2 linked regions of the Coturnix japonica genome follow. The protein of the gene in region 1 purifies or fractionates together with the protein of each later gene. This does not show direct contact. Links are inferred from orthologs where the notes say so. Each region holds a gene or a part of one and is shown on either strand. Other genes may lie near its edges. The genes, in order: CAPN2 and SPATA5L1.

Region 1 (4,318 bases):
GTCCTGTGCAACATCCCGTCTGGAGCTGGTCACCAGAAAGGCAGAAAAGACCTGAAGGCAGGCACTGTTTTTCAGGCCTACATACCTCTTCACTCTTCCTGAGATGGAGCCAACACACACCATGCCAGGCTGGGTCCAGGCTGTTTGGACAGTACTTTTCCACACCATCCTTCTCCAAGACTGCAACTATTGCATTTATTTTCAGAAACAAATGTTGTTTTAACAGAGTGGTCACTTTCCAGTTAAGCTCATTAACTAAGTGGTTACAGATGTAAGGACCCAGCGACCCCCTGACTCCTGCAACCCATAGGAAGAAATGGCATTTCAGAACTCCTCCTTAGGAGAATCATAGAATCATTATGGTAGGAAAAGACCACTAGGGTCATGTTTAATTTCTAACAAACAATCTCAAAGCACCCTTAACACTAGCATCAGGCATGAGACGTGCAAAAATCACAGGCTGGTGGGTTATCAGGCATCAGCACATAGGCCAAATAACCTATCATTGATCACAGAGTCAAAAGACTGAGTTTATCTGTAGGACTGTACATTTGGTTTGGCCGTATGTGAGCTTTCATTTCCAGACTTTATAAGCAGCCAACTAAACCAACACAGTAAAACAAAGATTCTCTCTCAGAAGCTGGTCATGGTGGCAGGGGTGTGCAGGAAGCTCGCTGTCCCACAGAGCACCCACCCTTCCCTTTCCATCCCTGCTGGACTGCCCACAGCCTGCCCATCTGAGCAGTGCTGACACACATCCCCCCTCCCTGCAAGGCTTTGCAGATGTGCACAAAGCAGGTCTGGCATCTCAGGCTTGTATAGGTTCTGTATAGGGAATATTTGAAAGGGCTGACAGCCAGGCTGGGCTAACCAACTATGTCAGTGGCTGAATGTATTTATATTAATAATGTGGGACCCCCCCAGAAATTTTCTGGTTGGAGACAAGAGGCTGTGCCAACTCACTCATAACAGAGTGGTTTTCAGCGTGGGAAAACCATGCATCTCATTTTCTACATTCATCCTACTCACTTTATCACTTTTCCACAACTCTGTATTCAAGGAGGATACATCTGTGATTAAACAGCGTATAAAAGATACTGCGCCCTGTACACCTCAGTGTTGTGATACCATGGTGACATCCCTCCAAAGAATGTGGTTAAGGGTGAATAACTTCCTCTGTATTTGCTTTGGTTCTTCTGCTGTGATGAATCACCACATCCCATTTGCTGCAGCTCTGGACCAAAGCCCATAATTAACTGCAGACCTGATACTGCAAAATTGATTCTGAATACTTGTCCTAAAAAGCTTCTGAATAACAATTGTAAAGCAGAATAATGGCTAACCCAAAGCCAAAAGGGAAGAGCTTTGTTGTCCTGAGAACCCAGTGAGCTTTTCTGTGCTAGAGATTCATGCCAAGAAGTGTGTCCCAGCAGTGACAGGTGCATGTGCTTTGGATACGTACTCTAAGATACTCCAAATGGGTGAGCACCAGTTGTAAAACTCTGCGTGGGCACAGGCCTGTTGCTTTCTGATCAAGCTTTTTGGGTGATAAATAGGCCACTAGTTTTCTATGGACAAACAGCAATACAGTAATATAAAATGCAGATTTCCAAGAGCACCTGATGTATTCTAGTGCAATGTTCTTTGGAACCTCACAAAACATGATGTGACATCAGTGTTAGCAAGTGAAGTTCAAGTAAATGGAAGCTTAGGTAAATCTCTCAGTGCAAAGCTGAGTGTCAGAAGAGGCAAAAGCAAAGAAAAGAAGCATTTACATAGAACATCTGTGAGAAAGAACATAGATTCAAAGCAGGGTCTTAGTAACTCAGCGGCTACAGAGGAAAACCCCATAGCATTGAATTAGTTCATCAGTAAGATACAGAGAAGACAACTCCCTCACACAGATTGGTAAGAAGATAGGGAGGCCAGTCACAGCAGCAGTTAGTCATGCTGAGAACAAACCTGAATGCTAACAGCCTCCTATTCAAATATTGTTTCGGTAGGGAAAGGAATACAGGCTGTGACTCAGTTCATACTCTTTGGAGGTACCACATAACCTGAGGAGAACATCTGACTGCTCAGCTATGGCAACGGGGCTCCAGTTCTCTGAGCATCCTCCTCTGGGCCCGCTCCAAAACATGCACATCCTTTATGCGCTGCCGTGCTGCTAACGGCAACCGTGAGTCAGGCTGAGGAGCGCACAAAGGCAGGCAGCAATCGGGAAATGGAAAACCTGCCCGCATCCTTCCTGCTCCAACATGACACGGGGCGAAACGATGGGAAAGGGAGGGTACAGCACAGTGCGAACCCGCACGGCGCAGCGCTTACCCAGCGCTCCTTGGCAGATGTCGGTGCGCGTGGCTCCGCCGGAGATGAACCGGGGGGAGGAACACAGCTCCTGGAACAGAACGAGCCCGAGTTACGAGAGGAGGAGGAGGGAGCCGAGAGAGACACAACGGCGGGGATGGAGCCGGAGTGCACCGCGCATCTCGGGCACCCCGAGCTGGGCACCTACCGTAGGTCTAAGCCAGACGACGCCCTTCGTTTTGTACGAGTTGGGCCCCAGCTCGCGATAACCGAGAGCGGCGGGGCAGGCGGGGAAGGAGGGGTCCTGGAAGAGGCGGCCGTCCTGCAGGCACTCCCTGCGCAGCGCCCCGAAGTTCTGCCCCAGGTACGGCACCGCCTGCTCGTGCCGCCCCGCACCCGCCGCCGCCGCTCGCTCCTTCGCCAGCGCCGCCGCCATCCCCGCCATCGCCCCGCCGCCCCGCAGACACGCCTCTCCGTCACGGGGCCGCCCCGGGCGTGTCGCACCCCGCGGGTCGTGGGAGGGGAACGGCGAGGCCCATCCCGACCAAAAATCCCTCGTGGGGTTGCAGGGAAGCAAAGCCCCGCACGTGTCCGAGGATGGCATCTGTCCGTGCGGAGCCCCCCGTGCCGCCTATCCTGCCCCGGCGCCGCTGGCATCGCTACGGGAGGGCTGTCCGCACTGCGAGAGCTCGGGCTGTTGGTGCCGTGCTTCGTGGCTGACTCACTGCACTGCACGGCGGAACGGGGAGGCACCGCTTTTGGGGCAGCGGATCCCGGGCTCTGAGAGCACGTAGGGCTCGTTTGGAGCCGTCCTGTTGGACTGAACTCCTAGTTTAGACTGAACTCCTAGTGTGCCCTGGAGCCCCCAGAGGCCAGTCACAGCCTGGATGCCTCCAGCTGGATGGAGGGGAGGGCTTGTCCCACTGCTCTGAGCTGCACGGCCTCTCCTCCTGCACTGGGTCTTATGCCACAACATAAGACAGACATCACTGTGTCATAGGGCATCCAAAAGTGAGCAACAAAGACGGTGAAGGGTCTGCAGACAACGTGTGTGAGCAGCACTGGGTGCAATAAAAGCAATAAAAACATTTTCAGCTGATCAGTGGGAGAAACCTTTCATTAACACCGTCTTAGCCCTGTAATGTAAGCTGCGGGGAGCCACGTAACCACAGAGCTGCTCCAAAGGCACTGGTTTGGCTCCACACAGTGGATCAGAGCTGTACAGCCGCCACAGATCAGACTAACCTCATTTTCAACAGCCACAACAGAAGGAAACTAATGTCAGTTTAAAGCAGTGGTTTTCACTAGCCTAGAAAAGAGGGCCTCTCCACACACCTCACAGCATCTGTCTCCCTTCTAAAGGGGGGCTATAAGATAGAAGGAGACAGACTCATTAGCAGGGACTGTTGTGATAGGACAAGGGGAAATGGTTTCAAACCAAAAGATGGGAGATTTAGATTTGGTATAAGGAAGAAGTTCTTAACAAATGAGAGTGGTGAGGCACTGACACAAGTTGCCCAGAGAGATGGTGGGTGCCCCATCCCTGGAAACACTCTAGGTCAGGCTGGACAGGGCTCTGAGAACCTGACTGAGCTGTAGCTGTTGCCATTCATTGCAGGGCAGTTGGACCAGATGAACTTTGGGGTCCCTTCCAACCCAAATGATTCCATGATTCTCTTTTCATTTGCCTTCCTGATACTCTTTCTGCCCTACACAACACACAGATATTGTGGGGATGGAAGATAAAGTCTGCCCAATGGTCCAGGGAGTGGAGCAGGGGGCCGTGCTGCTCTCCTCCCCAAGAGCATCCCCAGATGGAGATGGCTTCCTAAAGGAGAAGGCTGGCAGCACTGGTGGTGTTACACAACAAAGGGATTTGCTTTCCCCTTTGGGGCTGGAGGTTTCCTCACCAGCACGAAGCCCAGCCAAGGCAGTGAGGGGTATTGGCAAGGTCTCAGCCATCTTGTGAAATGCTCTTCCCAGCTCCTCATCCCCTGGGCCAGCCCCACTG
Region 2 (3,697 bases), on another chromosome or scaffold:
AGGAAGACCAAATTAGCATTATGCGTTGCTTTCAAATTAATATATGCACTAAAGAGTTGGAGTATTGTGCTCCGCTGTTTTGTTGGTTGTCTTTGATCTTCAGTTCTGTCACCGAGAATTTCATCCCTTGTTTATGTGTTGACAGAGTGTGGAGTGGCCCATGAAATTTCCTCAGGCATTTGTGAGGATGGGCCTGTCTCGTCCAAAGGGTGTTCTTCTCTACGGGCCATCGGGCTGTGCCAAAACCACACTGGTGAAGGCTGTGGCCACAAGTTGTCACTGTTCCTTTCTCTCTGTAAGTGGTGCTGAACTGTTCTCACCTTATGTTGGAGATTCAGAGAAGATTTTATCTCAGGTACAGTTTCCAATTTGTATAAGGTGTAAAAATTCTTTTTGCTTGATTTTTTTTGTAAGTCAGGTCTGCATTTTTCTCTTGAAAAAATGGTAGTTAAAACTCTTATTTGATTAGGATTGATAACTAACTTAAGGTTTCCTGTATGTGTGGACAGGAAGTCTAGCCCTAACATGATGCCAGTTTTCAGCTTTGAAAATATTTCTACCCTCTTGTTTTCATTTCACTTCAGAATTTAATTCAGAGGCAGAATTTGCCTGTAGTGAATGGAAGCTGGAGAGGCTTCTTGGATGAATGTTTCTTTTTTGAGTGTGAATGAATTTAAGTCTTCATCCCTAAGTAAGACTATATGTAAACAGGTGGATTCACCTTATCTGAAAGAACGTGTGCATTAACATTTCATTTTAAAAATCAGGTTTTCCGCCAAGCAAGAGCAAATTCTCCAGCAATTATATTCCTGGATGAAATTGATTCTATCCTGGGATCTCGATCGCACAGTAAAACTGGCCGTGGGGTCTCAGAGCGGGTGCTGTCTGTTCTTCTCAATGAGTTGGATGGTGTTGGACTGAAAGTCACGGAAAGAAGAGGAAATAAACTACAGCTTGAGGAGAGATGTGAAGAACCAAGTGATGAGGAAAGACAGGTATTTATGTTCCTTTTTCTGTATGGTACATATGATACAAATGAGAAGTGCAGCCCAGCTGTTCAAAAATAAGATGGTGCTATTCTACTTTATCATCATTTCTGATTTTTATATAATGCTGTTTGAATGCTGCTCGCTGTTTTTTAGGTCTGTTTCTCAATGAAACTATTTGAACAAAATACCCACACAGGCTCATGAACAGAAATAGCTGGTGTACTTTTTGTGTCACAAAAATCATCTTGCTTGACATAGATTATTCTTTTAGGCTGCGTCATTCTTGCTGTTATATAGGTTCATTTCTTCATCTCAAGAAAACAAAGTCCTGATACTGAAAGGAAAATAATTACATACAGGGATGCATTTTCTATTCTCCCTCCCACTTTTGTCACTAATAGTTAACAAATGTCTTAACCCATCTCTGTTTTAACTGTGTTGCACTAATCCCTTCATACCATCTCTTTACTCAGCTGGAGTTTCAGGAGACTTTGAGCAGAGATATCATGGTAGTTGCTGCAACAAATAGACCAGATGTGTTGGATGATGCCTTGCTGCGCCCTGGAAGATTAGACAGAGTGATCTATATTCCACCTCCGGATCTAAAGGTGCTGTATGACAATCCATACCTGGTGTTAAATGGAGAGAGAAAAACTGCCGAGATGCAAAAAGAACAATCTAATAGCGTGTTTTAGAACTGAGAGACAGCTCACTGGAGATGAGTTACCGAACTCAAGGTACCCAAAAAAGGGAATGATTACATTTGTAATTTAAGTACCACAAAGATTTGAACTGATGATGTAGATACGCTACTCATAGAAAACAGACAACAACCTGGAGCACTTCTCTATTCATGAAAACAAGCTGTAGGAAGTATCATGTGAAGTTGGCTGCCCTTTCTTCAAACCCTTATTGTTCCCTGTAAATATTCAGTGGTATAAATGCTTGTCCTGAGCTTCCCTCCCCACCCTAAAACGTAAGAGATGACCCAAGGCAGGAGATATATGGAATCATATATCTCAAATAGTCCATTTTTATGAAGTAATGAGTAACTATGAATACTAGATGTGAATATGAGTTAACCATAAAAGTAAATATGATCTCCATTAATAATACTTCATTTACTCTTTCACCAAGAACTTGCTAATTCTGTTTTTGTATTTTTCTCTGTTTCCTTCATTTTAACATGAAATTGAGGACTGTTTTGGAGTGGGAGTAATTGTTTGCTTTGCTTTTTCTCATTGATACGTGCCACCTCACAGGGAAGGCTTTCCATCCTGAAAGTCTGCACAGAGAAAATTCCATTAGATACTGACGTGTCACTACAAGATCTAGCAGCACTAACAGACCTGTTCTCTGGGGCTGATATTGAAAATCTATGCAGGGAGGTAAGAAATATTTGTGGTTATCTGTGAAATAAAGTATAAAATGTGGCCTTTCAGTGGGAAAAAGAACTAATTTATATGTATTACTAAGCCATCTGCAGTACGGCTTATTCTGCATGTGGGGCATACACTGGTCTCATCACTCATAAATACCAGGAGTCCTACAGTGCTGTTGTCTGATTTTGTGTAACACAGTTCAGTTACTTCTGTGCAGCTTAAAACCAGGAAGCACTTGTTAATATTCCCTTTCTTTTTTTAAGGCTGCTCTGCTGGCGTTGCAGGAGAACGGACTTGAAGTGACCGCTGTAAAACACGAACACTTTGTAAAATCACTGCAGACTGTGAAGCCATCTTTAAGCATGAAAGACTTGGAATTCTATGAAAACATGTATAGTCGGGAATTAACTTGTTGAATCCTAAAGGAATTATGTGGCCTGAGTGTTAGTAAATGGATCATGGGACAGCTTTGCAGTCTGTCTTGTCTTCTGCTCTGTCACGCTGTATTTATTGCCATTTTCAATTTGTATGAAATACAGTAAAATTTCACTTTTGGAAAATCTGTGGTGTCAGTGATGAATGGATCTGTGGTTGCTGGGGTTGGGTCGCCAGAGGCTGAGGGGATGATTGAGATACAGTGAGGCTGTTTGTCGTTATAGCTGTGGCTGAGGGTCAGCTCTGTCTGTCCCATAGACGTTCAGTTTCAGGCCGTAGGGCTGCACTGCCGCAGCCCTCTGTGCTTCGCCCGCACCGCCCGCCAGGGGCCGCCCGCACCATTGGAGCTGCGATGCCGATGTGTGCGGGTTATGGGGTGCGGGCTGCGGGGCGTGTGGGCGGCACCGCCCGGCCCCATCGCGTATATAGGGGCGCAGAGCTCACTGCCCGCACCGCGGAGTGCTGCCCGGCCTGTCCCATCCGCCAGGTAACGGGGTCCCAGCGGTGCCGAGGAGCGGGGCTCTGACGGGACCATCTGCTGCCGGTCCGCAGGCAGGATGAGCGCGAGCTTCTTCCAGCTGCTGAGAAAGAAGAAAGAAGTAAGTGTGCCCGGCAGCACCGCTCGGGGCAGCGCAGCGCGGGGACAGCGGGGCCCGGCAATGCAGCGGGTATCGCTTCTGCGCTCCTGCTGACCGCTCCGTGCGCTCACCTCTCCCCTCGGTGTCTTTCAGCTCATCCCCCTGATCGGAGTCTTGTCCTGCGCTGCCGTTGGGGCTGCTGCTTTTTCAGTCTATTCCCTCGTCAGCAAATCCGATGTGATGTAAGCGAACGCTGCTGGGAGCTGCCCCGATCCCTGCGCTGCGGGAAGAGTCAAAAGTCCGAGCCAAAGTT

Evidence for each region.
Region 2: the proteins of CAPN2 (region 1) and SPATA5L1 purify together in Homo sapiens (co-immunoprecipitation; 3 studies listed by BioGRID and IntAct, with this or other methods). This does not show direct contact. The link is inferred for Coturnix japonica from reciprocal best matches to the Homo sapiens genes CAPN2 and AFG2B.

Annotation. Positions count from the first base shown.
Region 1 is NC_029518.1:15,399,495-15,403,812, forward strand, and holds the start of CAPN2 (calpain-2 catalytic subunit), read right to left. Parts: upstream 3,008-4,318; 5' UTR 2,912-3,007; coding exon 2,516-2,911; intron 2,399-2,515; coding exon 2,329-2,398; intron 1-2,328. UniProt on the Homo sapiens protein: Calcium-regulated non-lysosomal thiol-protease which catalyzes limited proteolysis of substrates involved in cytoskeletal remodeling and signal transduction. Proteolytically cleaves MYOC at 'Arg-226'.
Region 2 is NC_029525.1:9,455,308-9,459,004, forward strand, and holds the end of SPATA5L1 (spermatogenesis-associated protein 5-like protein 1), read left to right. Parts: intron 1-145; coding exon 146-355; intron 356-767; coding exon 768-995; intron 996-1,462; coding exon 1,463-1,597; coding exon of another isoform or gene 1,598-1,684; exon of another isoform or gene 1,685-1,726; intron 1,727-2,251; coding exon 2,252-2,377; intron 2,378-2,634; coding exon 2,635-2,787; 3' UTR 2,788-2,926; downstream 2,927-3,697. Other genes in the region: C10H15orf48 (normal mucosa of esophagus-specific gene 1 protein), read left to right, coding at 3,364-3,405, 3,538-3,626. UniProt on the Homo sapiens protein: ATP-dependent chaperone part of the 55LCC heterohexameric ATPase complex which is chromatin-associated and promotes replisome proteostasis to maintain replication fork progression and genome stability.